Linked DNA regions of Pelodiscus sinensis. The protein of the gene in region 1 purifies or fractionates together with the protein of each later gene. This does not show direct contact. Links are inferred from orthologs where the notes say so. Each region holds a gene or a part of one and is shown in the gene's direction. Other genes may lie near its edges. The genes, in order: JUN, cyclic AMP-dependent transcription factor ATF-7, JDP2 and NFE2L2.

Evidence for each region.
Region 2: the proteins of JUN (region 1) and cyclic AMP-dependent transcription factor ATF-7 purify together in Homo sapiens (affinity purification with mass spectrometry; 3 studies listed by BioGRID and IntAct, with this or other methods). This does not show direct contact. The link is inferred for Pelodiscus sinensis from reciprocal best matches to the Homo sapiens genes JUN and ATF7.
Region 3: the proteins of JUN (region 1) and JDP2 purify together in Homo sapiens (co-immunoprecipitation; 3 studies listed by BioGRID and IntAct, with this or other methods). This does not show direct contact. The link is inferred for Pelodiscus sinensis from reciprocal best matches to the Homo sapiens genes JUN and JDP2.
Region 4: the proteins of JUN (region 1) and NFE2L2 purify together in Homo sapiens (affinity purification with western blotting; 4 studies listed by BioGRID and IntAct, with this or other methods). This does not show direct contact. The link is inferred for Pelodiscus sinensis from reciprocal best matches to the Homo sapiens genes JUN and NFE2L2.

What each region holds. Positions count from the first base shown.
Region 1 is NC_134719.1:14,319,496-14,327,225, reverse strand, and holds JUN (transcription factor Jun), read left to right. Parts: upstream 1-4,682; 5' UTR 4,683-5,590; coding exon 5,591-6,535; 3' UTR 6,536-7,680; downstream 7,681-7,730. UniProt on the Homo sapiens protein: Transcription factor that recognizes and binds to the AP-1 consensus motif 5'-TGA[GC]TCA-3'.
Region 2 is NC_134729.1:544,173-551,243, reverse strand, and holds the start of cyclic AMP-dependent transcription factor ATF-7, read left to right. Parts: upstream 1-3,977; 5' UTR 3,978-4,115; exon of another isoform or gene 4,116-4,217; intron 4,218-7,071. UniProt on the Homo sapiens protein: Stress-responsive chromatin regulator that plays a role in various biological processes including innate immunological memory, adipocyte differentiation or telomerase regulation.
Region 3 is NC_134714.1:43,859,037-43,866,447, reverse strand, and holds the start of JDP2 (jun dimerization protein 2), read left to right. Parts: upstream 1-4,269; 5' UTR 4,270-4,825; intron 4,826-7,411. UniProt on the Homo sapiens protein: Component of the AP-1 transcription factor that represses transactivation mediated by the Jun family of proteins.
Region 4 is NC_134717.1:45,626,078-45,634,041, reverse strand, and holds the start of NFE2L2 (nuclear factor erythroid 2-related factor 2), read left to right. Parts: upstream 1-4,915; 5' UTR 4,916-4,947; coding exon 4,948-4,977; intron 4,978-7,964.

The sequences.
Region 1 (7,730 bases):
ATTATGTGTATGAGAAATTTTAATTTATCCCTCAAAAGGCCATTTAATTATTGAGATAATCTGTTTGCTTCTTGCAGCCCTGTATTGATGGATTACAGAACTCTTGAAATGAAAATCTGTATTATCGTTAGTCAAGGCATCTACCTGCCGCATCAATGGAAATAAACAGTTAATTTCCAGTTCCTTCTCACAAATGGCTCAGTAAGCCCCGGTTTACACTAGGGAATTATTTCAAAATAACTCCCCTTATTTCAAAATAAGGGGCTGGTTATTTTGAAATAACAACTCCTGCTTTCCTCGGGGAATAAGCTTATTTCAAAATAGTTATTTTGGGGGATATTTCAAATTTAGTTATTTCAAAATAATTTCCTATTGTAAACATGCCCTAAGTGTTTTTTCATCTCACTACACTAGTTATTTCATGAGATCAGGAAGGGGCTAAAGAGTGCTAAAGTAATAGCTGATTCAGGAATCTAGTCATCTACCATTCCAAGCTCTCATGGCCATGGAGACTCAAAATCTCTGCACCAATAGGGCAGATTCACCTTTTCTGAAAGTATGTCTACATTGTAAGAGTGAATGTGTCTCCATGTCCAGGTAAATAGCTATGTACATGTTCTGCTCATGCTAGTGCACAAAAATAAGTATGGATTGCGTGACACAGGCAAAGGGTTGGACTAGCCACTGAGTATGGACTCTCAAGGATGGACTTTTTTATGGGCGGCTAACCTGTGTTGCTATCTGTGCCACACCCTTCACATTGCTATGTTTAGCACACTAGCTTGAGCAGAGCTAGTATGTGTCTGTCTATGGGTACGTCTACACAGCAACATTATTTTGAAATAACTAGCGTTTACTCAGCAGGCAGTTATTTCGAAATAATATCGAAATATTGTCAAGCTGGAGGACTTTTTACTCTGACTCCTGTGACACTCATCGTACAAGGAGTAAAGGAAGTCGGAGGAAGTGCTCTATTTCGAAATAAGTGCTGTGTAGATGTTCCAAATTTCAAAATAAGCTATGTAATTGACGTAGGTCAATTTGCGTAACTTATTTTGAGTTAAGCCCTGTTGTGTATATGCACCCTAACAGAACAGCGAGGTACAATCCCAGCTGGAGTGCACACAGACTCTTCAGTTTCATACTACTGAATGAATCTCAGTTTGTCTGCTGGGTGCTAAACCAAGATTCTCAATCTTACACTGAGCAGACAGCCATCATTCATTTCAGATGAATGATATTTAGGCTTGGTTGAAAAAGCAGGAAGAAACAGACAGCCAAGAAACAAAGTCACATTTTCTTTGGTTTCAAAGCTGTCCATGTATACTCAGCATTTATGACCAGCTTGACTGTCTGTTGCTCAATTTCCCAAATACCCTCTAAGTGAGTATCAGTTAACATAATTAATGTTTGATGACTATCTGCCCTAGCAATAGGCCATGGCAGCAACTTGTTCCCAGTGAAACTGGAATGACCTACTTTGACCCCGTCCATTTCTGAAACTCCACCTTTGTGACAGGAAGGAAGTCAAAGCCTGCCTGCAGCAAAGTGGGTGAAAAAACATGAAAAAAAATTCTACACAACAGTATACTAGCAACCCACTCCAATACTCACTGAATCAATGGAAAACTTGTGTTGACAACAGGGCTGTTGGAACAGACCCGAATGGAGCAATAATCTGTTTTTCAGTTCATACACATAAAGTTGACTAAAAAGAGGCCTGAATGGTACATTGACTTCCTTTTTTTTTTTTTTTGGCATTACATCTTAACTTGGGTGTGTAATGTTAATTTGTTAATACCCAAGTAGTTATATACATAAATATAGTGTTTCTGGACAAATTCAAGATTACTGCAATCTTATTTAACACTGTTAAGATTTAGAGCTTATCTACGTGAGGAAAATTGACTGGAATATCTGTTTTGCAATAAATCCCCATCCAAATCCTCTAATTCCAGAATAGACACACCTTTAACGTGCCTTTAGCCCAAACCCTTAGCTATATCTAGGTACCTAATTTCTATAAATTTCAAAGGGACTTAGGCACTTAAAAACCTTTGACAATCTCGGCCTTTCTCTGGTTTAATTTAACAATGGGTTAAGCAAATGCAAACAAGGTGTTCTTATTCTGAAATAAGTGTCCACAAAGGGAATTATTTCAGAATAACTAGTGTTTTAAGCTCACACTCTTCCTTTTACCAGAATAATATCCACTGTAAAAAAAAAACCTTTAAAAATTTGATAATTGTACTTTGACACAAAAGATTACAATAGCATCAGAGCTGGTAGTGAGTAAAATTAAACATTTCCCATTGTTAAACAGACAAATGAAAACTTTGAAATGTATCTTTATGAAATATAAGTTTATTTGTAACATCTTGAGTGTAATTTTGATGAAGCAGGGAGCCGTTAACATTAAATTAAACAATTAGGCTGTGTCTATATTGGCAAAATCTTGCTGCCTGTCTACACTGGCTGGGAGTATCAGCGCAAGAACACTAATGTAATGTACAAAATCAGGGCTCCCGTTCCCGCTCAGGGATAAGTCCTCTTGCACAAGTGTACTTGCGCAAGAGGCCAGTGTAGACGGGCAACATCAATTTCTTGCGCAAGAAAGCCCGATGGCTAAAATGGCCATCAGAGCTTTCTTGCGCAAGAGAGCATCTACACTGGCACGGATGCTTCTGTGCAAAAGCAAATCTTTTGTGCAAAAGCACATGCCAGTATAGATGCTCTCTAGTGCAAATACTTTTAACGGCAAAACTTTTCCGTTAAAAGTATTTGCGCAAAATCATGCCAGTGTAGATGCAGCCTGAGTGTGTCTAGCATCGAACAGGCTGATAACAGATTTCGAGACAAATGTATATGCAATGACACTTCTGATTTGTTAAGCTATTTAACAGTTGGAATTCTGGCTGCATGCTAGCACACATTTTAACTTTTCTGGAACACAGGAATATCTTGGTTACATGTACTATGGCAAGACATAGAGAATAATAGGCAATATATTCAGGTGTGAGTTTAGAATTTCACACTAGGAACTATTACTCCAGATGCTACAAAGTGTACACTTGTTCTCTGTACACCAATTACTTTCCAAAACCGGCAGTACTAGCTCTTTTGCAAGTTAATATACTACTCAAATTCAAGTGGAGGACACTAGAAAAAAAATGTCAAATGGAAAGAAGAAACTGGGAGATCATTTAGAAAACTAATGGACTATGATGTTTACTTCTGCTTTGGGTTTGTATTTCTTTTTAATCCCATTTGAAAATTTAACCAATTGTTATGTCTGGAACAAGAACAAAAAAATCCTAGAATGTTTCCCTTTTTCAAGTACTTGTTTAATCCATGAAATAACAGTCCGTTTTGCATTTAAGACGTGATTTAACAGGATGGCCACATTCTCTTCTGGAGTACACTGGCAAAGTTCCATAGAAGTGCGTCGATTTACACCACCAGATAATTTGATCTACGTAACTTTTATAATTGCTTTACTTGTTAGGAGCGTTGGCCACGTGTTTCTGCTCGGCAGAATATGATATAATAGTCTTCCAGCTTCTTGCCCCGTACCCGTGCGCCGGGTGGTGTTAAGCAGCTGCTCCCTCCCACCTCAGCGGTGGTGACATCTCAGCGCTGCCTTATTTGCAAAGAGCTTTATAGATATTCACAAACGCTGCCTCCCCACAAACTAGTGAGACTGGTCGGGAGGAGGCAGCCCTGTCTGGGTAGCAATGTGCAGCACCTGCCAAGAGCGGCAGAGCATTGGCGGGGGTGGGGTCGCTCCGTGGGAGGGCGAGGACACTTTTTTCCCGCGTTTCCCGGAGCGCTGCCGCATCCCAAGAGGCGCAGCACTTTGCAGAGGGTAAGGTCGCAGGGTGGGGAGAAGCCCTGGCACGTCGCCAGCAGCACGCCCCCGCCAGCGAGGCAGGCGCGGCTCCCGCTTGCCAAAGGAGCCACGTGGGCTCCGCCCCGTCCACGCTCCGCAGGTGCCAGGCGGGAGCTGCCAAGGTTTGAATGCGGGAGGCGGGAGCCCGGAGAGCTCGGGCCCGTAGCAGGACCCCGATCGCGTATCTCAGCCGCTGCTTCCCGAGCAGGCGCCTCCCCTCCCCAAGCGACAGCGGCTGCCCCCGTCGGAGCCAAGCGGCGCTCCCCCGGCGCTGGGCAGCGCTGCCGGCCGGCCCCAGCAGGGAGGGGAAGAATCACGTGCGGCTCAGGGTCATCCCTAAGCTGTCCCCAGCCTACGGCTGCGCCCAGACGTCAGTGCCACCTTAAGGACCGTACCACCCCACGGGGGGGGAGGGGGAGTCAGAATGCAGCCTAAAGCGAGCCCCGACGCGAGGCCCTCGATGCACCCAGCCCCCTGCTGGCAGACTGAACCGTGAAGACTCAAGCAGTAGGATTGATTAAAAACTCACTAGCCACCCCGTGTCCAGGGAGCAGGTCGGTCTGTGTGCCTTTCCCACCCCCCCTCCGTCCACAACTTGGTGCTTGCTGCCTATTAAGGAGGCTCCCCCTTCCCAACCCCGCGCGTCCAAGCGCTCTTCAGCGGGTAACCAGAGATTCAAAAACAATACGTCAGCCCACAATGCCCCGCGGTGAGCACAAGCATTACCTCATCCCACAGTGCCCTGCGAGGGAGCTGAGAAGCTTCTAGGGGTGGGGTGACCATGGAGACCGGCTCCTTTGCAACAGGCCGGGCCAGCGGCCCGCCACCCCCCTGAGGTGCCGCCGCAGCCAATGGGAAGGCCGCGGGGTGACATCATGGGCTATTTTTGGTGGGTTACTGCTCGCTGATAAGTGTTGGGCTGCAGGCCGGGAAAGGGCTCAGAGTGTGCGGCAGGCACCAGGGCAGCAGCAGCAGCACTAGCAGCGGCGGCGGCGCCCAGCGCGAGAGGCGGGCACGGCAGCGCGCGCGGTTAAGTGCCTCGGGTTGCGGCGGGGACCCGGCCAGCGCAGCCGCGGGAAACGTGGTCGCCGCGGCGGGCGGAGCTGGAAGCCGAGACAGCGGCCGCCCGTGGAAAAGTCCTTGGGACAGCTCGGGGGTGCGGCGCGGCGAGCCGCGGCTGGGACAGCCCGCCCCAGGGGCTGCAAGCGCCGGGCGCCCCAGGCACCCTCGCAGCGGGAGAAGAGGGCAGCCGAGAGCCTGGGTTTCTGAGCCTCCCACCCCGCGCGATCCGGAGGGGAACCTGCCTGTCGGACACTTACTCCGGAGTGAAACTAGAGCGAGGCTGGATTTCTGCTCCGTTCCTCGCCGCGCAGCGCCGTCCCAGACACCACAAGAACTTGACACCAGCGCGGCTGCGACTCCGCGCTCAGGCTGACTCGCTTGTTGTGGTTTGAAAAAAGTTGAGTCCTGACCCGCGGAAGAAACGGGGAAAGACCCGCCAGCCGCTGCCCTGGGGGATAAAAAGAAAAAGTAAGACTCGAGCCGATCGTTACTTTTCCAAAGCTTTTTCGTTGTTGAGTTACACCGTTGCCGTTTTGTATTGAAAAAGGTGAACTTGCTTTGAACGGGACTTGGCAAGCAAACGAGTTTCTCCCTGCTTAATTGTAACTGCTTCAAAGACAGTTTGGTGGACTGTGTTCTATGACTGCAAAGATGGAACCTACATTCTACGATGATGCCCTAAATGCTACCTTTGTACAGCCAGAAAGTGGTGGTTATGGATATAATAACCCTAAAGTCCTGAAGCAGAATATGACACTAAATCTGGCTGATCCTGCCAGCAACCTGAAGCCCCACCTCAGGAACAAGAATGCTGATATTCTTACCTCCCCAGATGTTGGTCTCCTGAAGCTGGCATCTCCTGAACTGGAAAGGCTAATCATCCAGTCCAGCAATGGCTTGATCACCACTACTCCCACCCCAACACAGTTTCTGTGTCCCAAAAATGTTACTGATGAGCAAGAAGGGTTTGCTGAAGGTTTTGTGAGAGCTCTGGCAGAGCTACACAATCAGAATACGATGCCCAGTGTTACAACTGCTGCCCAACCAGTTAGCAGTGGTATGACACCTGTTTCATCTATGGCTGGCAACAATGGTTTCAACACCAGTTTGCACAGCGAACCTCCAGTGTATGCTAATCTCAGCAACTTTAACCCTAGCGCACTCAGCACAGCACCTAACTACAATGCAAACAACATGGGCTACCCACCTCAGCATCACATTAATCCACAGATGCCAGTGCAGCATCCCAGGCTCCAAGCTCTGAAAGAAGAACCTCAAACTGTACCTGAAATGCCAGGAGAGACTCCTCCACTGTCCCCCATTGATATGGAGTCACAGGAGAGGATCAAGGCTGAGAGGAAGCGCATGAGAAACAGAATTGCAGCCTCCAAATGCCGGAAAAGGAAGTTGGAAAGGATTGCCAGATTGGAAGAAAAAGTGAAAACTTTGAAAGCCCAGAACTCAGAACTGGCATCCACTGCCAACATGCTCAGAGAACAGGTTGCACAGCTTAAGCAGAAGGTCATGAACCATGTCAACAGTGGGTGCCAACTAATGCTAACACAACAGTTGCAAACATTTTGAAGATACTGACTTGGGGTGAAAAATCTATGATGTTGCAGTAGAGCAACAGAAAAAACAAACCCATAACAAGTGGCAGATTCATAAAGCTAATGGTAAAGGCTTGAGAGGCATTGAGTCCTGCTTGCACCCCACAAAGTACATGTGTGGAAAGACTGGCGAGCCTTCAACAGAGCTAGTAGCAAAACAGCACCACTCTGAGAAGTGCTGTTCCTGCTCAGATGATACATCAGATCTTTGTTTAATATTGACCAAGACCTGCATGGACCTAACATTCGATGATCATTCAGTATTAAAGGTTAAACTGCAATAGAGACTGTAGGTTGCTTTCTGTAATACTCTTAAAGAAAACACAAATGGGAGGGAGGTTTGTGGGAGGCTGATAAAAACAAATATACTGCCTGCCTTCAAGTAAATTGTGTATGTACATTTTTTTTATTTTATGAAAGCTGATTAATGTCAATAAACAACTTCATGACTTTGTAAATTATTTTTATGTTTGTGTTCTGTCCAGTAATGTTTGTAAATGAGGGTTTTTGAGCACTCTGAATTTACCATTTGTAATAAAGTATATAATTTTTTATGTTTCTGAAAAAAGTCCAGAAAGGTTCTATTATATTTAAGAAAATATAAAAGCATTAATAATGCATTTCCTTCCCCTCTTCCCTCCCTCCCCCTCCTTTTTTACCAGTACCTAAATCAGGACTCGTATCACACATGCTGAACTCTCAGTGGTAGAGAATGTTTAACTTATACTGTAACAAGAAGACACGTTCTGGAGAATGTGTTCAAGTGAAAAGATAAACCATACCCTGTAACATGAACAGCAAATAATGTATGTATTTTAAGTGTTTTATGGATTTAGTTCAGATTGGCTTGCCTGTCATAATCCCATATCACAATATAGACAATAGCTTTAAAAATTAAGCAGTTTGGGGGGGTTTGCTATTTGCATCAACTTGCCCTGTCCTATACTAGTCTGAACTGTAACTATTTCATATTACTTATTAAAATAATATCCCCAACACCATATTTTAGGTAGGAAATTTAACAAAAAGGTATCCTTCAGTACTGTCTAATTATTCAGAAATAAGAGGTGGTCTTTGTTCATGAATACTTGCTGTCACAATAAAATTCTGTAATCCCTTTCCCTATGTTGAAATCTTTACCCTTTTAGACATTTGAATATTAAAATGTA
Region 2 (7,071 bases), on another chromosome or scaffold:
CCGTCTCAGACCCCACCCCCTCTCCTGCACCTCAGGCCCCAACCCCGAGCTCCATCCCAGCCCCTGACCACTTACTAAAATCATGGAGTGCCCCCCTCCCATCAAAAATGATTGCCCACCTCTGCTTTAGGTGCTGTACAAATAGAACAAGAAGGCAATCCCTGCCCCAAAGACCTTACAATCTAAATGTACCCCCATCCATAGGAACAGCACCACTTTCCAGTCAGTTGGGACTGTCCGCCAAGGACATCCTCAGTGTTAACCTTTGGGGGGACCAGATAGCAAGTATGAAAAAAGGGACACTTTGGGGGGGGGGGTAATAACTGCATATACAAGACAGAGGCCCTAATAAGAGGAAGGCCCTGATAATATTGGGACATACGGGCAGCCTAGTTAACCGTAAGCGTCTACTGACAACTTCCCATTCCGTCCGCTCCCTCGTCATGAGAGCCTAGGGAAGGCTGCCGTGAGCCCAAAGAGCCTGCTGCGGCTTTCCCGCTGGAGCGCACAGAAAGCAGGCACGTCATTTGAATAGTGGCATGGCTCGTTAATTTAATTAATGGAAACAATAGCAAGTAGCATGTTGCCCACTTACCTAGCATTTGCTTAATCTTCCCCAATTTGGAGCCTATTATTTCTGATGACACTTTGTGTTGTTAACAAGGCAATTACTGCTTTATAGGCAGTGCAGCTCACCCCCACCGTTCGGCTGGGCATGGCGTGGCTCTCCCCTTGTGTAACTACCTGACACCAAAGCCCAAGGCCATCAGGCAGCTGTGGGCTGTGATCAATCGTAGACTGAAGCAGTGGACGGGGAGGGAAGAGGCGCAAATATTTCACGTTTCCAACTGGGTCAGCAGGCCCCTTTGGCGGAGGATCTGATGTTTGGGAACCAAAGGAAGGGCCTTTGTTTTTTCTGGGCTGGAGCACAGCGCATGGAGGGTTGTTTGGGTTGGCAAGGCCTCCCCACTTCACAGGGCTCCCCTCTTCTCCTGTATCTAAGGCACTTTTGCTTTGCTTTTTTTGGTTTCGCTTCCCCCTCCTCTCCTTCATGTTAGCATCCGCTTGACCACATCGGGATACGAAATACCCATGTTATTTCAAACCCTTCCTCCCAGGCACGTGGGATCCTATGGCACTTGTGCAAACCTCAGGGCATCCTGGAGGAGTTCCAGGCCAGGCGATTCCATTCTGGCTCCCTCAAGGTATCAGCTGAGTAAATCAGCCTGCACGTTCCTGTCCTCACCTGTTGTGCTGGGTGGCTGGCACTAAATCGTATGTTAACATTTCCCCGCAGGGCCTTTCTGGACTAGAAAGTTGAAGTGGTAAGTTTGGCTGGCCTACTGGGGCTAGCCGTACCTCTGAGCGAGGAGATTGAAGCTGGGTCCCCACCTGTTTGAGCTAAGAGCTAGCTGTGTTAGCCAAGACAGTAGCAAGCTAGTCAACCTCTGCTAGTGGCCCAGGCACCCTAAAGGGGGGAGGGGAGTGGCTGTGGCTTACAGTGACACCCACCAAACGATTCCTATTCGCTGAGCTCCATGACTGGTAAACAGGACATTGGATCTGGGTAAAGTTCCCAATTTAGGCTCAGATGTGGCCTTAGGCAAGTCATTAACTACCCTAAGTTTTAGTCCCCCCGTCCCCCTCCGCCCCATATGTTGAATGAATGGAAATACTTTGTTCCCTGGCAGGAAGGTCCTAGTCCATGCGTAAGGTTCCTAGGCTCTTCTACAAGACAAGTTACAATATAGTCATGCTTAAAAACCACTGCACTAAAGAACCTAGTTAAAGGTGTAACATCGAACACTGAGACATGGCCCTGTCACACGGTGGGTACGCCCAGCCCCCTCAACACACGTTCCACCCCACAAGTGTCAGTCCTGACTGCCCCCGGGCCTCTCCTACCCCTTCTCCCATAGGAGTCCAGCCTAGTGGTCAAAGACAATAGCAACACCCAGCTCGCGGGGCAATAGGGCCCAGCAGCCTGAGTCAACAGCAACTGCCAGTTCATGGGGCAATAAGGCAGAGCAGGCAACGTCCACAGCCATAGTGACCCCTTGGGGTTTAATGGAGTGGGGGAACCCAGGCCCTCCCCCTCCACCGGGTCCCAGCCCAGGGCCCTGGCAGTGGTGGGTAGGTCCCACCATTAGCTCAGCAGGGAACCCGCCTACAACGCACTGAGCTCTCAGGGATCCAATTCCCCACCCTGGGCTACTTCCTACCCAGTTCACAGCAGGCGGTGGCTTCCCCTTTAGTCCCTTGCGACCTACGGGCTTCTGCAGCCCTTCCCGCTGGCCAGCCTCCATAGCTCAGTCCATCTACAGCCCTCCCGGAGAGGACTGGCCACACACACCCCCTGCCTTCTCCACGGTCCTCCACTGGCCTTTCCACCTGCCCCCCAGCAGGGCTGTGGGATGGGGCGCTCTCGCACAGGTAGGCCTGGTTAACCCTTGCAGGCCCAGTGCAGGGTCCATACATCCCATCCCAGGCCCACGCGACATAATGTTGCACCCTTGGGCGTTTGCACTTGGACACCTACCGTTCCCCACAGGACGGCTGCCATATACCTGCATGGCACAGACTGGTAACCAGAACCATTCCGTCAACAGGACGAATCGGGGCAGCCGCCCCAGGCCCTGTGCTTCTGGGGGCCCTGTGGCCGCAGCCTCAATTGTCCTCTTGATGGGAGGGACCCAGGGGATTACAGGGCCCTGGCATGGTGGCAGCTGGGGTTACCCCCCCACCACACACTCACCCCACAGGCAGCAGGAGATGGGGTTGCCCAGCAGCCTGGCCCGCTCCACCCCGCCCTGTCCCACAGCACACAACACGTTTGCAAAGGATGGTTGACTTAGAACAACCCTTCAGCTCCCTTCCCCGGGTGCCCCATCTCTACTCACCCTGCACTGCCGACATCTGCAACGTCTGGGCCACGGGAAGGAGGCTCTGTCACTGTAACCTCAGCGGGGGGCAATGGGGGGGCTCTGTCACTGTCTGGGAAGGCAATGGGGGGGGCTCTGTCCCTATCCGGGGGGTTGTTGGGGGGCTCTGTCCCTGTCCCTGTCCGGGGGGGCGATGGGGGGGCTCTGTCCCGGGGGGGCAATGGGGGGGAGTGATGGGGGGGCTGTCCCTGTCCGGGGGGCGATGGGTGGGGCTCTATCCCGGGGGGGAAATGGGGGGAGTGATGGGGGGCTGTCCCTGTCCGGGGGAGCGATGGGGGGGCTCTGTCCCTGTCCGGGGGGGTTGTCCCTGTCCAGGGGCGCGATGGGGGGGCTCTGTCCCTGTCCGGGGGGGCTGTCCCTGTATGGGGGGGCGATGGGGGGGGCTCTGTCCCGAGGGGGGCAATGGGGGGGCTGTGTCCCCGGGGGCGATGTGGGGGGAGTGATGGGGGGCTGTCCCTGTCCGGGGGGGCAATGGGGGAGGCTGTGTCCCCGGGGGCGATGTGGGGGGAGTGATGGGGGGCTGTCCCTGTCCGGGGGGGTGATGGGGGGGAGTGATGGGGGGACTCTGTCCCTGTCCGGGGGGGCAATGGGGGGGAGTGATGGGGGGCTCTGTCCCTGTCCGGGGGGGGCAATGGGGGGGGCTGTGTCCCCGGGGGCGATGTGGGGGGAGTGATGGGGGGGCTGTCCCTGTCCGGGGGGGCAATGGGGGGGGCTGTGTCCCCGGGGGGGCAATGGGGGGGGCTGTGTCCCCGGGGGGGATGTGGGGGGAGTGATGGGGGGGCTGTCCCTGGGGGCAATGGGGGGGCTCTGTCCCTGTCCGGGGGGGGCAATGGGGGGGCTGTGTCCCGGGGGGGGCAATGGGGGGGGCTCTGTCCCTGTCCGGGGGGGCCATGGGGGGGCTGTGTCCCCGGGGGCGATGGGCGGGCTCGCTCCACCCCCCGCGCGCCGCCCCTCCGCTGTGTCCCGCATCCCGGGCTGCCGATTGGTTCTTCCTTGTTCCTTGCCCCGCCCCCGGCGGGTCTCGCGAGAGTCTCGCGCGCAGGGAGGGAGGGGGCGCCCAGCGCGAGAGCTCGGGGCGGCTCGAGAGGGACGGAGCGCGCGCCCGATTCCGCCGCCGGCGCGAGGCAGTGGCGCGGACCTGAGGCAGCCCCCGTGTCCCCCCCGGGCCTCGAGGTGAGCGAGGCCCCCGCCGCCCCCGCCCTCCAGGGGCCCGGAGTTGACGCTGAGACCCCCCCTCCGAACTCCCCGAGTTTTCGTGAGAGTCCGGCCCCTCCCGTGAGTGACACGCTCTGCGGCCAATCGGGACGCCGGGGCGCTTGGAGTGACGGGCGCCGCAACCAACCGCGGCCGGGAATGGCCTGGGGCACGCCCCCTCCGGGTGGGCGGGGCTCAGGGTTGCTGGAGATTCCGAGGGGCCCGGGCGGTGGCTGGTGGGGGAGGGGCCAGAGGGGCCCAGCTGAGGACACCGGGGGGGGGGGTCTGGGTGGAAATGTCTGTGGGGGGGCTGGGTTCCGTGCGGGGGGGTCCCCTTATGGGTGCGGGGGGGGCTGTGTGGTTGGGGTGCGGGGGGGGCTGTGTGGTTGGGGTGCGGGGGGGCCCCTTATGGGTGCGGGGGGGGCTGTGTGGTTGGGGTGCGGGGGGGCCCCTTATGGGTGCGGGGGGGGCTGTGTGGTTGGGGTGCGGGGGGGCCCCTTATGGGTGCGGGGGGGTGTGTGGTTGGGGTGCGGGGGGGCCCCTTATGGGTGCGGGGGGGGCTGTGTGGTTGGGGTGCGGGGGGGCCTCTTATGGGTGCGGGGGGGGCTGTGTGGTTGGGGTGCGGGGGGGGCTGTGTGGTTGGGGTGCGGGGGGGCCCCTTATGGGTGCGGGGGGGGCTTTGTGGTTGGGGTGCGGGGGGGCCCCTTATGGGTGCGGGGGGGGCTTTGTGGTTGGGGTGCAGGGGGGCCCCTAATGGGTCGGGGGGGCTTTGTGGCTGGGGTGCGGGGGGGCCCCTTATGGGTGCGGGGGGGGGGCTGTGTAGTTGGGATACGTGGGGCCCCTTATGGGTGTGCGGCTTGTGTGGTTGGGGTGTGAGGGGCCCTAAGCAGCAGCGCCATTCGGGGGGATTAGGGGGTTTTGGTAGGAGTCTTCCTAAAGTTGCTGGGGTAAGGGCTTGGGGCTGCCTGGTAAAAATGGGTGTGTGAGGGAGATTATAGGTTGGGGGGAAGGGCCCCTGGAATTGGTAGTTTGGGGTCCCCCCCAAAAAACCTGATTGGGTGGGGTAACCCCGAGAATACATGTTGTGGGATTCACCGTTTTATAGCCCCCTCCTGAAAAGAGTTTTGGGAGGTGCTGACTATTTTCCCTCCTCCCCCATCCCTTGGCAAATTAAATCAGTCTGAGCAACAGTAGCGTGAAAACTTAATATTTACATTGTACATTATAGCTATTTACATTATAGATACACTGCGTAAAGAATTGTTGCTTCCCGCTGTTGGACTTTGGGAGCTCAAACTTTCTGAGAACTTGTTGAAGCAATGAGGGTTTAATTTGTTACTCCACAATTGTTCCTTTCACTTACATGCTGTGGTATAATAGGTGACTGTTTCATAGCTCTAATTTAGTAGAATCTCACTGGCTAGTTTGTCAAAAGAATTTCATTTTTATTACTAAAATTAATTTGGGGGCCCCACTTCTTCTCCTTAACTTAAAATGGGTTGGGAATCTCTTTTAGGGCAGGGGCTGCTGATCCCTAGAGAAAGTAGTTGGGGGCCACACACAAGTGAGAAGCAAAGTGGGAAGCCCCTGACTCAGAAGGAGAAAGATCCTGCTCACATTCCCTTTGCACACCAGAGCCTAGGGGGGCCCTGGCTAGTAGCTTGGGGGCTGGAGCCACGCGAGCTGGGGGAGGAAGGCACATACGGCTGCCAAGTCTGAGGTTCTCCACACCTGTCCTAAAAGAGAAAGGCCAACAGGTTAGACTTTTCTTACATGAAAATAAAAATACCTGTTGACAGATGTAAAATCAATATAGATTAATCAAATTTAAAATTTTTAAGAGCAGATTCTTCTGTAGTTTACACTCTTTTGAAATTCAGTTGACTACCAATATCATCCTTCCTCTTTCCATTCTCCTAACTGTACCTTTTCTTATGAACTGTCATCTCTATCGTGATTCACCAAGAAGCTATCCTCTGCATATTCAGGCCCCTCTGAAGAGTAAATTTTAGTGGGAATGAGTTAATAAAAATAAAATGGATACTTTTCTCTGGATTCCTCAGAATGTCTTTTCTTATTATTGTGTCTTTTGAGGTATGGACTTCTTCCAGTTTGTTTGGTAAAGCATGAAGCATACTGTAAACCAATAGGTCTGTCCAAAAGAATTACATGGCACTTTACAAACTGGAGAAATATAGTTATTGGCTGTTCACTTAAATATAGTCTCACGTGGTGTGGAATGTTACAGTAATTCTCAACCACCAATTCTGTGAAACAGTGTTTTGATACAAAATTAAGATTAACTTCATCAACTGAACACCAAGGAATTTTTAGAAAGGTACGCTATATTTGCTCATGTTGGAATCATGGTTAATACCCCTTCTCTTTATTTTTAAAGAACTTGTATTTGATCATGATCATAAGAATACATGTTACAGGGGTGGCTGCATGCGGCTCTTTGCTCACAGAAATGCAGCTCTCAGGGTTAGGGCTCATTCAGAGCTCCATGCCCGCTTTGTGCACGTGCCTAAGTTCCTGGAAGGAAAAATGCAGTGGCACCTCCGGTCAGACCCAGGCATTGGGTTAGAATGGGAGGGGCCTGGGGGTGCCTGTCTCTGGGGGAGGGATGTGTGGCTCTTTGCACTACTATCCACAGCTCTTTGGCTCTTAGTGTCTAATTGGCTGGCCACCCCTGACATATTAACTACCATTCTGGCCAACCGTAATCAGTTTTGTAGCTGTAGTTTGACCATCACTGAAGAGTTTGTTTGCTATTGGTGTCTAAAAAGAAGGTTGAACTGATGGAAGTTCCAATCCAGAAATGTAGGTGCAAACTTTGTTGCAGTATGGTTAGTTAACCCTGTATGTCTATCTGCAGTAGCCTTTTTTTTTATAGAGATCATTTGGATCAATTACTTCCAATCCCAGAATCTGA
Region 3 (7,411 bases), on another chromosome or scaffold:
AGAAGCAGGCTGGAAGTAGGGTATCTGGCTAGGGGGAGGGAGCAGGAGCAAGGGAGGGTGTAGTGTGTGACCAAGAGAGACGGTGCAAGGAGCAGGTGGGGGTAGGTATCTGGCCAGGGGGTGGGTGCAGGAGCAGGCTGGGAGTAGGATGTCTGGTCAGGAAGGTTCTTGGGGTAGGGTGATTGGCCAGGGGCAGGGAGATGGGGGCAGGGAGTGCCTGGGGATAAAGTTGGGGGTCAGAGTGGCTGAGGGGGTTCAGGGAAATGAGGGGCAGGGTGCTACTAGGAATAGGGCTGGGGTAAGGTGGCTGGGTGGGAGTTCAGGAAAATGGAGGGTAGGGTGTCCTTGGGGGAAGGGGCAGGGAGGTGTGACAAAGTGGTGGGGGGTGGCCCCAGACTGTCCAGCACTGGTGGGGGTGGGGTCCGGGTTGAGTTTGCTTTTTTCACCACCCCCTTCCACCTCCACGTGTCTTCGGAGCTGGAAGCTGGAGCTGCAGTTTTGTGGCTGCATGGGCTCCCTCCTGTGTGGGGGTGGAGAGGCTGAGCTTGAGCTGTGGACTACCTGGGAGGCGGCCACCGACCACTTGTCGTCTGGGGACTGCACTTTGAGAACCACTGCCCTAGAGCAAACTCATACTTCCTCTCTGTAAGTAGTCCAAGTGTCACTACATGGGACAATGAACCACACCCACCAGGTGTCTAGGTTACATAAGCAGCTCTGATTGGAAAACACAAGCCCTGCTCCAGGGAATTTACAGTCTAAATGTGAATTGTGACAGGAGCAAAGGTGATACTCAAAGCAACAAGGTGAGGACATAGGCATGAGAATTATGGGTGCTGCAGAACCCCCACATTTTACAGGAGTTCTGGCTACCAGCTCCATGCATAGGGTCCTGGCTGCTGGCCTCGTGCCTGGCTCCAGCCCTGGCCTTAACTTCTGCTCCCTTTCCTCTGCCTGGGTCCCTTCCTCCCAGAGAGATAGCCCTGTTCCTGGCCCCAGTGCTAGGGGAATGGCTGGTGGTAGACACTGGGTAAGGGGGCTTTCAGCACCCTCGTGACTAAAAATGTTCCAGTGCCACTGGATGAAAAAGGATAAAGATTACAAGAATTCGATCATACCATTACTTTTTCCCAGAAAATGCATACCTTGGTGGTTCTGTGAATGTACTTACAAGGAAGATAAAATATGTGAAAATAACTGATTCCCTTATTGAAGGTCTCGCAGACCAGATGAATTAACCCCCACTTAATAGCATCAGTTTTACCTTTCCAAAGTACTGGGAGCAAATTACCTTCTATTAAAATTGCTTTGTTGACTGTAGGGTCTCTCTATTTAGAACTTTCCATTAAGTATACTTAATATATTTTCCTGTCTATTGTACAGGCAGTCCCCAGGTTACGTACAAGATAGGGATGGTAGGTTTGTTCTTAAGTTGAATTTGTATGTAAGTCGGAACTGGTACATATTGTAGGGGAAACTCTAGCCAAACATTTCTCCAGAGCTCAGTTTTATTCTCCCACACCTCACTTCCCTCAGTCCTTTATTCTCAAGCTGAGGTATCTGCTGAGAAAAGCCACTCTGCGTCTCCCTGGTCTGCTGTGGGGGAGGGGGCACAGCTAGTGCGGGGTTGCCTCACCCCGTTTGTAAGTAGGGTTCCGATGTAAGTCGGATCCATGTAACCCGGGGACTGCCTGTACTGCCTCATTTTCATATCCACTTCCTTTATCCTTCCATATAATCTGTATAGCACAAAAATACATGAATGTGATTCCAGTATTTTGTTGACACAAATAATAAATGTATAGTTTCAAAGTATCATCTGTTCACTGTATTTTGTGTTATGGTATTTTTTTATTGTTCCCAACCTCTTGCGGAGCCATTGTTGACTCTGACAAATGTTCAGTTTTCTTTGTCCATATAAGTGTTTTCCTTGCAATTGCACAGAAAAATGTGCTTGTGTACATAGGAAGAAGTTAGACCTTTTTTCAGGCTCTCTGTACTCCCTCCTGAACCCCTGCCTCCTCACAATTCTCTCCCAGATCCTGTATCCTGCTCCTACACCTCTCTTCCAGATCAGAATCCTCTCCTGCACCCTATCCCCTGCCCTAGGTCACAACCTAGACCCCATCCAATTCCTGCATCCCAATACCTGTCCCCAAGAGGGCAGCCCTTGACAACTTACCAAATTCATGGAGTGACCTCACCCCATCTCAAAAAAGATATGCTGGCATTAGAAAAGGTTCAGAGAAGGGCAACTAAAATGATTAAGGGTTTGGAACGGGTCCCATATGAGGAGAGATTAAAGAGACTGGGACTTTTCAGCTTGGAAAAGAGGAGACTAAGAGGAGATATGATAGAGGTATATAAAATCATGAGTGGTGTGGAGAAAGTGAATAAGGAAAAGTTATTTACTTGTTCCCTTAATATAAGAACCAAATGAAATTAATGGGCAGCAGGTTAAAAACAAATAAAAGGAAGTTCTTTTTCACACAGCGCACAGCCAATCTGTTGAATTCCTTGCCTGAGGAGGCTGTGAAGGCTAGGACTGTAACAGGGTTTAAAAGAGAACTAGATAAATTCATGGAGGTTAAGTCCATAAATGGCTATTAGCCAGTATGGGTAAGGAATGGTGTCCCCAGCCTCTGTTTGCCAGAGGGTGAAGATGGATGGCAGGAGAGAGATCGCTTGATCATTACCTGTTCGATTCACTCCCTCTGGGACAGCTGGGATTGGCCACTGTCAGCAGACAGGGTTCTGGGCTGGATGGACCTTTGGTCTGACCCAGTATGGCCATTCTTCTGTTCTTACGTTCTTATAAAAAGTTGTCTACCTCTGGGCTAGAAGATAGTGAATGTGTGTATGAGACAATCTTTCAGTTTAGACTTTTGTACCCATTATGGAAAAAAAATCTGAGAATCCCTAATGTGTCTCAATAAAAGCTTTGAGAGCAGTACCAGAAAGTGGAAGTGAATGCACATTCAGTTCAGTTTGTGGAACAGTGGTGTAATATGATCTCTGTAGTTTGCCCTGCTTAGAGGACATGATCTCTTAGGTTTAGTCTCAGGCAGGGGGAATTACATTGTGCAGACTGAAGGGATGAACTCAGGAGGTCCTCATCAAAGAAAAAGATGTATCTGAGTGGAAGATAGGACTTTTGGCCATTAGAGCTGTTTGGATATCTAGAATCAGTGACAAGTCCACCATGCTCCTGAAGCCTGATTATTGTGGTCTTAAAACCTAATATGACCTGGCAAATGTGAGTGAGATAGGTGACAAATGTCTCAGGGGAGGAAGGAGGTGGGTCAAATAATTGTGTCTACATTATCTAGAAGACCCTAGCACTCTTTTCTGCCTGCTACTTTGTCTGCTTTGGATATAGTGTAAGAGGAGGAGAGTAGCGTATGTGTGGGTATGTACATATGGAGGTACAGTATTCCATGAGATCCAGATGATAGAGAAGGGTGATCAGTTAAGGTTCCTTCCTGTCCTACAATTTTGTGATGACAGCTGTTGGATGGAGGTAGCCTTAAACGTCCGTCTCTTCATCTATCTCAAGAGTTCTGGATGAAGGAGAGAAGGGCACAAAACTGTTGATGACCCTTTGTATGTGTATGGCAAAGGAGCCTACACAGGCTCCACCTCAGATGTGAATGATGGTGAAGCTAGAGAGCAAGGCAAAGCTCACTGTGTTCTTAGATGTGGGGGGGGGGGGTCTCCTTGCAGCCCTCCTATTCCTACCTTTCTCTCCTCATTGTCTGGCCCTGGCATGTAGGTGGGATACGGTCTCTTCAGCTGTCCCATCTGTTTCTCAGATCTCTCCCTCCCTCCCAGAGGTAGGAATGAGCAGTGGGAGATCTGGAGCACCCTGTCCTGCCCCCCTGATGGGGTGGAGAGGCTGGAACATGGTGCAACTCCTTCCTGCCCTGGCTGAGATGTGGATAATGTAGGAGAGGGGGTGAGGCAGGCATTGATTGCCAGCGAGCCTGGCAATTCCTCCCTCTTCGCCTTCCGTTCTCCCAAACCGGGGGCGGAGAAGAGGGCGCTGCATGGGGAGAGCGCCGGCCGTGTGCGCTGCGCCTCTCTCACGCTGTGGAGCTGACTCCCCAGCCCTGCTCCGATCTACAGCTCAAAGGGGTAGCGGAGTGTGCGCAACATGCGGCCGGCTCCTCTATTCCCCCCAGCCTCCTGACTGGGATGCACGGCGTGAGGAGGAGGAGGAGGAGGAGGTATGTGTCATGCCACCCCCGGATGTAGGGCGCGGAGGAGAAGAGTTCATGCAGCTGAGCCCTCCTGGCCCGGGTGCAGGGCGAAGGAGGCCGCCAGGGGTGTGCGGCACGGCACGCTCTCGCTCCCGGGGATGTGCAGCGCGGTGAACGGGCGGAGGGAGCTGGAGGTCACTGTCTCTAGAGCTGGTCCCACCCCCGGCCTGCGCTCTCCTCCCCTGCGGTCCCCTCCTCTCCACCCTCCCTGACGTCTGGAGCTGGCAGCCCGGCCGGTTCCGCATTCCCGACCCCTCCCCGCAGCCCAGGGGCCGCTATATAACCGGGGCTGATGCAACCCACCCAGCCGCCCGCCACAGCTTGCGGGAAGGACGCACCGGGGCAGCGACGGGGGGCGGCGGCTGTGGCGGCGGCGGCTGCTGGCCAGGCGCCCCGGTGGCGGCAGCTGCTCCGGCTTCTCCCGGGACCGGACTCGGCAGGACGGGCCTGGGGACAGGGGCAGAGCACCGGAGCCAGGCGGCAGCGGAGGGGCTGAGCGTGTCGCCTGTCTCCGGCTCCTACAGCCGGGCCCCGGGGGCACGTCGGCCGCCTTCTCCCTCTGCACGGTGGGTCTGGGCGGAGCGGGGAGTGTGGGGCGGACGGGGGGCTCGGTGCGGGGCCGGGAGGCCGCGGCAACTCGGTGTGGGGCTGGCAGTGGGACCTGGGGAGTTTCGGAACAGGGGGCCGACTCTCGAGACGGGGCGATGGGTTGGGAAAACCTCCCGGTGTAGCAGCTGGGCCGGGCCGGGATTCGGGAAAGAAACAGGCTAGCTGCAAAGCCAGGCCCGGAACCTGCACCGGCCTGGGTCACGGGAGCCTGGGGGGCTCTGGGCCTCTCCCCCCATCCTCGGCGCGGCGACCGGAGGGGACGTTACTGCCTGTTGCCCCCCGGACTGTGCTGTGCTCTGGGATCTGCCTTGCAGCCCCCGTCCTGCCCGTTCCTCTCACGCACATGCAGGGGGCGCTCAGGGGTCCAGGGTCTTCTTGTCACTGGCATGGGCTGGTGACTGCCTGCATCCCTCCCCGCGGCCAGAGCAGGGCGCCTGCGTGTCCCCCTAATGACCTCAGGGACTGCCTTGCCTGCCTGCCATGCTCCGGAATGTGTGCTGGCCCTGGGAGCTGCTGTGCCATGTCCAGCCACTTCTCACCTCTGTGCTACCACCCATGACTGCACCCTGGGGCTGCTGGTCAGGGAGGGCAGGCTGTCCCTTGTGGAAGGGAAGCTTGAGGCAAAGTGTGGCCCCTATCTCTATCCCACATTGGTTGGTGTGAAGACGCTCTGAAGTGTGTAGGGCCTAGTGCCAGGTACTGATCACTTTTAATTCTGAGAAGCCAACAGTGTGGGGGCTTTACAAGGCCCTGGTCTCAGCAGCCTACAGTCCAGCTGGGCAAGTGAAGGGAAACAACAAAAGGAAAGGGATGGATGGGGGAGGTGAGGCCCAAGCTATGGGTGCTGGAACAATTTGCACAGTTGAGGTTCTGAGAGCCATTGAACCAAAATGTAAACCCAGAATAGGATATAAATAACTGCAAGCTAGGGGTGCAACAGCACCCCTAGTTCCATCACCTATATCCTGCAGCATTAGGTGCTAGGATTTTATGCATGTTTCGGTGTCGGCACAGCTTCTGATAGGTTAAGGAGAGTGGGCTGATAGGATAGGGCTAAGGCTAACAGACCTTAAAACACAAAGATAGAAGCCTCCTGAGGGTTGGCTTCAGAGCCTGCTGTGTACTGTGTTTACCTGCAGCATTTTCCTCTTCAATGCACCTGAATTTTGACTGACATTCTGTTCCCTGTACAAGAAACTCTCACTGATGTCCTGGACACCTAGATGCTGCACAGATGGGCACATCACAAAGGCATAAACAACATGCCTACACTGGACCCATGACAGAGTTCCAGCTCAGGCTGAGGGGAAGGGGCGGGAGAGGCTAAAAATTGCAGTGGAGATGTTCAGGATTGGATTGGAGCACAGGATCTGAAACCCTGCCCGGGGTTGGGTTTCAGAGCCCAGGTTACAGTTTGAGCCCAAATGTCTGTGCTGCAGTTTTTAGGCCTGTAACCAAAGTCAGTTAACCTAGGCTCTGAGACTTGATGCTTTTTTTAGTGCAATGTAGGTGTACCCAAATGAGACCTACAAATGCATAGAGAGTGGAATCAAGGTTAACAAACACTGTATTTTGCCCTAGCGTTATGTTTTTAATGCCTGGCTTTAATGGGTTCCGGTAACAACTCATTTCTGATTGGTGCCATAGTGGGTTTTATTACTTCCTCAGATTTTGTTTTCTAGTTCACCTGTCCACACAGTGAATGTTAAATGCTTGCTGTGTGGGTTAAGAATAAGAAAATCTGAATTCTGGGAGGCCCACTTTGGTTTTGTTACAGGGAGGGTTGCAATGTGTTCTGCTACCTCATGAGTGTGCTTCCTCCTACTTGCTCTCTGTGCCCTGGAAAGGGAGCCCCTGGAGATTCCTTCTGCTCATTCAGTCCCAAGTCCATTTTAGTAGCCAGACATAGAACTGAATGAAAGTCACATTCTTTTGTGCTTTTTCTTTCCAGAAGGCATTATTCTGTTTCAATGTTAGGGAAATAGCTTTGAGAGCAAATTGGGGGAAAGGGAGAAATATTGAGAGACACACACACATTATGTTTCCATTTTGCTTTTAATGAAGGCCCTGTGGAGGTGTATTTGAAAACACAGGCCCTCCTATGCCTTCAAGGAGGGTGAGAACACTCTCTTGGCTGGTTCCAGGGCCATATGCAGTGTATGGTGGGCCAATGAAATGGGGCCTGGCTCATTCTTTTGCTTGTCTTGGCAGCCTGCTTCATAGCTTGTATTACCAGCTCTGGAACGCAACCACTGCCAAACTCTGTGTGTGTGTGTGTGTGTGTGTGTGTGTGCGCGCGCACGTGTTGAGTGTGCATGATCGCTGAAAGCACAGAAGAGACAAATGCTTCAGCTACTCAGACTTGGAATTTTTAGCATGTTTCTTGAAACTAGCATGAAAATTTCTATCTGGAGGCCTTTGCCAGAAGCCTGTGTTGGGAATTTGCTAGCTTTTACATGGAGATGTCTGGGGATATTAGGGATGTTAAACATTGGTTAATTGAATAGTTGAGTAACCTCATGAATTCTTATCGGTTAGTCAAC
Region 4 (7,964 bases), on another chromosome or scaffold:
GGGTGCTATTCTTTTACGATACTGAAAAACTCAATAAATGCTATTCAATAAAACTATCATGTTCAAGGAGACAGACTGGAACTGGGAGCAGTGAGAGTCAAAAGGTTTTCTTAGCATTGACAGGTCTTTTCCCCTTTTAAAACTTTGTTTCTCCAGGGCTTCCAACATTCAATCTGGGTTCAGCTGCCAGTGGGGTCATTCTTGGATCAGAGAAAACTGGAATTGACCAGTGAAAGGAAAAAACTGACAACTTTTTTGCTCCTGGTCCTCCATCACAATTGCTGTGATACTGTCATGCAATATTTCTCCTTGAAATCAAGGACATGGTATAACGAGAATGCTTGGTGTATTTTTCTCACAGGCTTGTCTTCCTTGGCACGTAAAGCTGGTCCTATAAAAGATATTACCTTAGCTCGTCTCTCTAAAACCCTGGCACCAATGCAGCTACAATAACACTGCATAGACATACCTCCTCATGCAGTGATAAAACGTATCTATTCTCCATATACATTCCTAATACGTTCATAGACAGTGCAACATGTTCTACCTGAATTTCCATAGCAGAGCAGGTGTATTGCAGATGAACATACCTGGTATATTTAGCAAAAGAGTCATGTAATTAAGACATTCTGATTATAGTTTACATTCTTCAGATGGATGTGTAGTTGTATATAATTACACTACAGGCTTTCTATATTTACAATAAACATGCATCGTAGACATGCTAGTGAGAGAGAGAAGCGAAACATTACATTCTATTTTATGGAGTGATTACAATGACAAATATCTGGTAATAATTAGGAATGTGAATGACTAGTCGCCTATCAGGTACGCAAATGCTTATCGAACAGTTGACACGCTAATCGACTAGTTGCTTCCCCCCCCCCCCACCTTGCTGCCTCTATCAGAAGAGGCGGAGGTGTTTCATAGTGGTAGCATCACATGGAGCCTGCAGACTCCACTGCTGACCCCAGGCTCCATGCAGCTCTGCCACTTTGAAACGCTGTGGTACTGAGAGTCTCCTGCTGTGAGACTTTGAAACACTGTGAGTCTCCTGATGGCTCCAAGCTCCCTGCAGCTCTTTCACCTCAAATGTGGAGGTGCCCTTATCGACTAATCAAATAGCCGATGTAAATTGTATCAACTATTCGATTAGCCAATTAATCTAAATGTAATATCCCTAATAACAGCTTTCATCCAAAACTCATCACACCATCCATTGTCTACAACCAATCCCTAAAATACAACTGCATTTGTTCCAATCCCTCAGACTAAGACAGGATCTCTATCAAGCATTCTTAAAACTCCAATACCCACCTCAAGAAGTGAAGAAACAGATTGATAAAGTGGCTAGCCAGGACAGACCCATCAAAGAAAGCAACATAACATAACATAACATAGACATTACTTACATCCCTCAGCTACAATCTATCCTACATATCATCAAGGATCTACAACCTATCATAAACGACGATCCCTCGCTCTCACAGACCTTGGGAAACAGGCCAGTTCTTGCTTACTGACAGCTCTCCAACCTGAGATAAATACCCACCAAAAACTTCATATGCTACAACAGAAACACTAATCCAGGTACCTATCCTTGCAACAAAGGATTACCAACTCTGCCACATATTTATCCCAGTGACACCATCACAGGACCTCACCACATCAGCTATGCCACCAAAGGCTCATTCTTGTGCACATCTACTGATGTAATATATGCCATCATGTGCCAACAATGCCCCTCTGCCATGTACATCTGACAAACCATCTGTCTATGCAAAAGAATAAATGGACACACATCAGACATTAAGAATGGTAACATACAAAAGCCAGTGGGGGAGCACTTTAACCTGCCTGAACACACAATTTCAGCCTTTCGAGTTGCTATTCTCAGGCAAAACAGACTGCAAGGAGAAACTGCTGACTTGGGAATAATGCAAATTTGGCACATGGACTGATTCTCATGTTACTCTTACATTACACATAAGTAATTTCCCATTCAGGTACTCACACCTTACCACTGTTGGAGATGAGCCACATCCACTCTGATTTAATTAGTACTGATGTCATAGTCCCATCTCTGTGTCCTTTTCCTCCCTCTTTTTTCTCTCTTTTTTTTCTTCAGTGTCTGAGGAGCTGTAGCTCATGAGAGCTTATGCTCTAATACCCTAATACATGTGTTAGTCTTTAAAGTGCCACCAGACTCGTTGTTGCTTTTGCTGAACTAGACTAACACAGCTATCGTTTTAACATCTGACATTGCATACATTCATTTGTATGTTTTGTCCCACCAGAGCAACACTCTTTATTGTAGTAGATGTGAGAGGATTAAATAGCACTGTGAGCCATAGGCATGGGAACTTCGGGAGTGGGAGGGTGCTGCAGTACCCCCAATCTCAAGGTCCCACATGCTGGGGGCTCTGCTGCCAGCTCGCGCCCAAAGGTCCCAGCTCGAGCCCCGTGCACTGGGTGCTCAATTGCCAGCTCCACACCCAGCTTCAGCAGGGGATTCAGACAGGGATAAGGGGTCCCAGTACCACCACTTTTAAAAAATGTGTCCACACCACTGCAGTAAGCTGGATCATTTAGAACAGGAATAAGCACAGGAATAGAGCCATGTTTTCAGCAGGTGCAGAGCAAGGCTGGGTGAGGGGTTATTAGCAGTGTTCTCTTCAATTATATTTATTGACTTTAAAGGAAGCCACACATACACCTAAGACCACCATTAGTTCCACCACTGTGTATGCATTATAGATAGTGGCTTTGACCTGTTATAACTTCCTAACAAATACAACATCTTGCATTTTTACAGTGACTGTTATCCCCAAATGACCACAAATTTAACATAAGATTTATTTTCACCAACTGCTGAAGAGCTCGACCTTCTATGAGGCTACACAACAGGTGTTGAACAGAATACAACAACATTTGAGATTAAGAAGTGAAGAATCCTGTCTCACATTTAAATTTCAGAGGAAATTAAAGCAGGAAAAATGTAATTACCTCAGTCGGAATCTAGCCAGTGCACAAGGATTAATGCACCCATTCTTCTAAAAGTGCTGTGGAATCTTTTAATTATCAAAAGTAGTCAGGATCTCATTTGAAAGATGGCCTCTCTGAAAAAACAGCATCTTCTGCTAGTGCACTGTTTTAGGATTAGTAACAGTGCTATCTACTAAATCTACAAATACTTTCCGAGCTCTGGAGTTTCTCTTAGAGGCCATTCTTCCAAGAACTGAATGTGCATAATTTGTGAGACTTGGTTGTACAACTACAGAGCTAGCATAACAGAACAAGGTAATGTCTTTAAACCCCCAAAAGCTGTGGACTCAACTAAAACAGAGTTTACCTATATCTTCCAATACTTTCTGTGAAAACAGACAATAAAACTGCACCATGCACACTTCTTCATGGAAGTAGGTCCATACATGCATTGATGTGCTGCTTCACATTGCAAGATATGGCCCGGTTCCATAGCTAAACAGCACAGGATGTCTAGAGGTAAGAATAAAATAATGTTGTAAAGTAATAATTCTTTTGTGGGTAGCATGCAGCTAAACAAGGTTAACTTGAGTGGTGGGGAAGGATTGAGGTGAGTCACTCAGAGCACTCCTATATTAGGTATTGGGGGGGAAGGGGAGTCTCAGGAGTGGTGGATGTCAGTTTATATTAAGAGTTTTGAGAAATGTGTTGGAATTTCCATATAGCCTTCCTCTCATTATTAAGCTGCTATATTAGTTACCAACTATAAGTTGGAATGGCTGGGGAAGGTCAGTTAGTATAAAGAGTTGGTCAGCTGGGATGTTGCAGAATCTGTTGGAAAGGCATCTGGTGAATCTGCTGGATTGAGATATGTTGAGATGGGGGAAATGGCTCTGATATGTTGGAATCTGCTGAGATCAGGCAGGCAGGGTTCTGTCAGACTTGGAGATGGGATGAGTTATGATAAATCAGGGAAGACTTAGTTTATTGTGGCAAGATTGACAGGCTGAAAAAGGATCTGATGAGAAACAATGTGGTAGGAATAGAGAGGAATCGGAATTGAATTGGAATAGGTTGAGGAGAGATCTGTTGGAATGAAGAAGAATCTGGGAATAACTGGATAGTTTGTGGGAGCTGATGGACGTGGGTGATTTTCAGGAGAGATGGGGAGGAGAGAGAGAGAGAGAGAAAGAGAGCGTGTGCGCGTGCGCCGGCTTACATACACACAGAGCCAGATGTCCAGTTAGGCACAGTACTCAGGTGCCTTGGGGTGCTGCCCTTCTAAAGTTTACAAAACTTTAAAGTGGTTTACAAATTTCATTTTTTGTTTTTAGAGAAAGCACAAAAGTCAGCTGTAGGCAGGGGCAGGTGCTAATGATGCTGTGCCTAGGAGCATACAACGCAGACATCTGGGCGCGTGTTTGGCAGTGATGGGAGAGGACAGGCTCGGGAAGGGATGGGGCTGGTGGTTTTGGGGAGAGAGGGAAGAAGATGGGGCCGAGGCTCAGGTGTGTGTGGCAGCGATGGGAGAGGACAGGCGAGGGAAGGGATGGTTTATGGCTGGGATGGGGTGGGGAAGCAGAAGACGGGGCACAGGGGCGTGTGGCAGCGAGGGAAGGGGAGAGGGCCGGGACGCTGCTCTCTAGCAGGCCCTGGGGGGACAGGCAGGGGCTCGGACGGGGCCAGGGTGGCTTGGGGCCGGACGGGGATGTGAGGATGGGCGGGGCCGGGCCAGCCCCCGCGCTGCTCCGTGCGGCCGCCGTTGCCGAAGTTGCCGGGGCACTGGGACAAGGGCCGCCTCCCCGGCTGCCGCGGCCGTGAGTGGCTGGGGCCGGGCGGGGCGGGGCGGGAGGCGGCTCGCTGTCCCAGCTGTCCGGGGCCGCTCGCTTCACTCCCCCGCCAGCGTCGCAGCGAGCACCGGGACAGGGAGCGAGGGGCGACGCGCCGGCTGCCGCCAGCAGGATGGAGATCGAGGTGCTGCCCGCCCCGCAGGTGAGAGCCGGGCCTGGGCCCCGAGTCCGCCGGGAGGGGCCGCGAGTCCGGGGGCCGCTGGCACGTGTCTCCCCTGGGGCAGCCCCCGCCCCGCCCGGGTGGCGACACGCCGGAGCGGGGGGCTGCTGGTGGCGGGGGGGGGGGGGAGCAGGAGTCGCGGCCCCGCCCCTGCTCTCGAGATCGGCGCGGCTTCCCCTGCTCCGGGAACGTGATGAGTCACGGGACCGGCCGGGCGCCCGGGGGAGGCGGGCCGCGCACGGTTCCTGCCGGCCCCCAGGCCAAGGGAGCAGCCTGGCGCGGAGCCCCCTGGGGTCGGTGGCGCGTCAGGGGGACCACGGCCCGGGGGTTCTTACGCCAAACTAGTGTCCTCTGCTGCGAGCTTGGGACTTACCCTTTGGTGACTCAGTTTCCCCATCTGCACCATGTCACAGCCCCTTGGAAGAGGCCTGAAATGTGATGTGAGATGATGCCAGTAACAGCCACCCTGGTTTTAACCAGGTCTGTGGTGCCAGCCAATCTTACCAGCTGCCTCAAGGGCAAAAGGCCATGGGAAGGTCAGGAACAATGAGGCTGGCCTCCCAGAGAGGTAGACTAGATACTCTTGATTTCCTGAAAATCTATTGACTGAGGAAGTGGGGGTGTGAACAAAATGTCTAGGCCCTGGGTGTAAATAAAATGTATGGCTTTCAGTTTTAGCTGTAAGGAGTAGTAGCCCTAGCAAACATTATCTACACTCAACAAATTTAAATAAGTCTGCCTTGGAAATCTTAACCAGATATCATTGTACAGGCAGAAACTCTCTAGTCCAGGGTTCTGATCTGTGGTCTGGCAGGGCCATTGATATTGCTGAAACAAAGATCCCCAACAGCTGCGGGGCAGGACCTGGGAACAGGGCTGCAGGGCCAGTGGCCGGGAGAGCCAAGAGTCAGGTAGCTGGGGCTAACAGTGGAACCAGCCTGGTGGCAGGGAGCCCAGTGACCAGGGCTGGAACAGAGCGAAGCCTGGAGTGCGAAGCCTGGAGTGGAGCCCAGCCAGTTCTGATAGATCCTGGGAGAGCCTGGACTCTGTCAGCAGAGGGCCTGGAATTGACATCCCCTGGTCAGCACCTCTACTACACATATTGTTTCAGCATCCCTGGTGGCTCCGGAGACCCCCTGGATCTGTGTGATTTAGTCCTCATTAAACATGCCACTGCATTTAAATTTTAAGGCCCCACATCTAATTTCTTATTTGGATACATTATCCTTGTGTGGATGGCTTTTGGCTTTAGTTAAAAGTTTATCGTCTGTCACAATTTCCCTAAAAGGGCCCTTTCTGCTCGATAGCGTGAGATCCCTAGTGTTCTGAGCCAGGAACAAGTTGGAGCTGTTACACAATCATTTATTTCCCTGGGGCTGTTATGTTTTGGATTTAGCCTTTTGGTGCAGCTTCAAAATGTGTAAACCAGCATATATGGAGGGTATAATCTCTGAATTATCAGAACATAAATTTTAAATATTAAACATTCTTTCAACTTTTTTTCTGATAGTTTCTTTATCATGTTTCTGCATAAAATATATGTAAAGTTAAGCAGTTTCATTTCATAACAAGTCTCTTCAGGGGCATATAATGACATTCTTTTTCATAGTCTTGTGCTATCAGTTGTATCAATTGTCTAAAAGCAGAAGAAATTATCCTAAGTTATTTCACTCTTTTATTTAAAAAATGCATTTTTTAAAGGGTGAAGGAATAGTTGAGAACTAAACCAGTTTACTCTTCAATTTTAGTTTACAGATGTTTTGTGTTCATTTCTCCCCCCCCCCCCTTCTTGTTTATAGGGAAATACAAACTTTTTACTCCTAAATTTATTACATGTATGTATTCCAAATGTTATGTCCATTGTTTAGGTTCATTCTGATCTGGATCACAGACTTAAGAGAAGCTTAGATAGCTGTTTCTCAGGGGCTAGATATCCCACCAGATTAATTTGAGGCAGTGGTTCTCAGTCAGGCATATGTGTACCCCTGGAGGTACACAGAGGTCTTCTAGGAGATACATCAACACAGCTACATATTTGCCTAGTTTTACAGCAGGTTGCATAAAAAGCACTCGCAGAATCAGTACAAACTGAAATTTTATACAATGTCTTGTTTATAGACCGCTATATACAATACATTAAGATGTAAGTATAACATTTATATCCCAATTGATTTATTTTATAATTATATGGTAAAAATGAGAAAATGAGTGGTTTTTTTTTCAGTAATAGTGTGCTGTGACACTTTTGTATTTTTATGTCTGATTTTTTTAAGTGACATGAAACGTAGGGGTACGTAAAACAAATCAGACACTTGAAAGGGCTACTGTAGTCTGAAAAGGCTGAGAGCGAGTATTTTAGGGGACAGCATCCACTCTTAAAGTTTCAGCTACACCTTTCTGGATGTATCAAACACATCTACCTCCCCACTCTTGAGATGTGTCCCTCTTTGCAATATTGCTTCTTGTATCTCTGTTCTTAAAAAAGTTCCTCTTGGGCCTTCATCATTTTTTAGCTTCACTACTACTATTGCCTCATGTCTGGCCTCCCCTCTTGACACCCATTCATTCCTTGCAAAATGTTGCTGCTAAAGTAATTTTCTTGGTTTATTTGACTGTGCTAGCTCCCCTCTGAATTCCTACTGGCACCAACTTATGCACTGCATAAAATTCAAGCTTTTTTTGGTCTCATCTTTAAGGGCTTTAGCAACTATGGGCTTATTTACAGTTACAGTGTTGCAGCAGCATGGCTGTATTAGCAGTTACTGAAAACACAACCTATGCCAATGGGAGAGCATGTCCCGTTAGCATGCATGCAAAAGAAGCCCTTTCGTGCTGTCTACATCAGTGGGTAAGTTGGTGTAACTATGTCATTCCAGGGTGTGGATATTCCAGAACCCTGAGCAACATTATACCAGCATAAGTTTGTAGTCCAGAAAAGGCCTATGCCTCAGTGTACTCATTTATTTTCT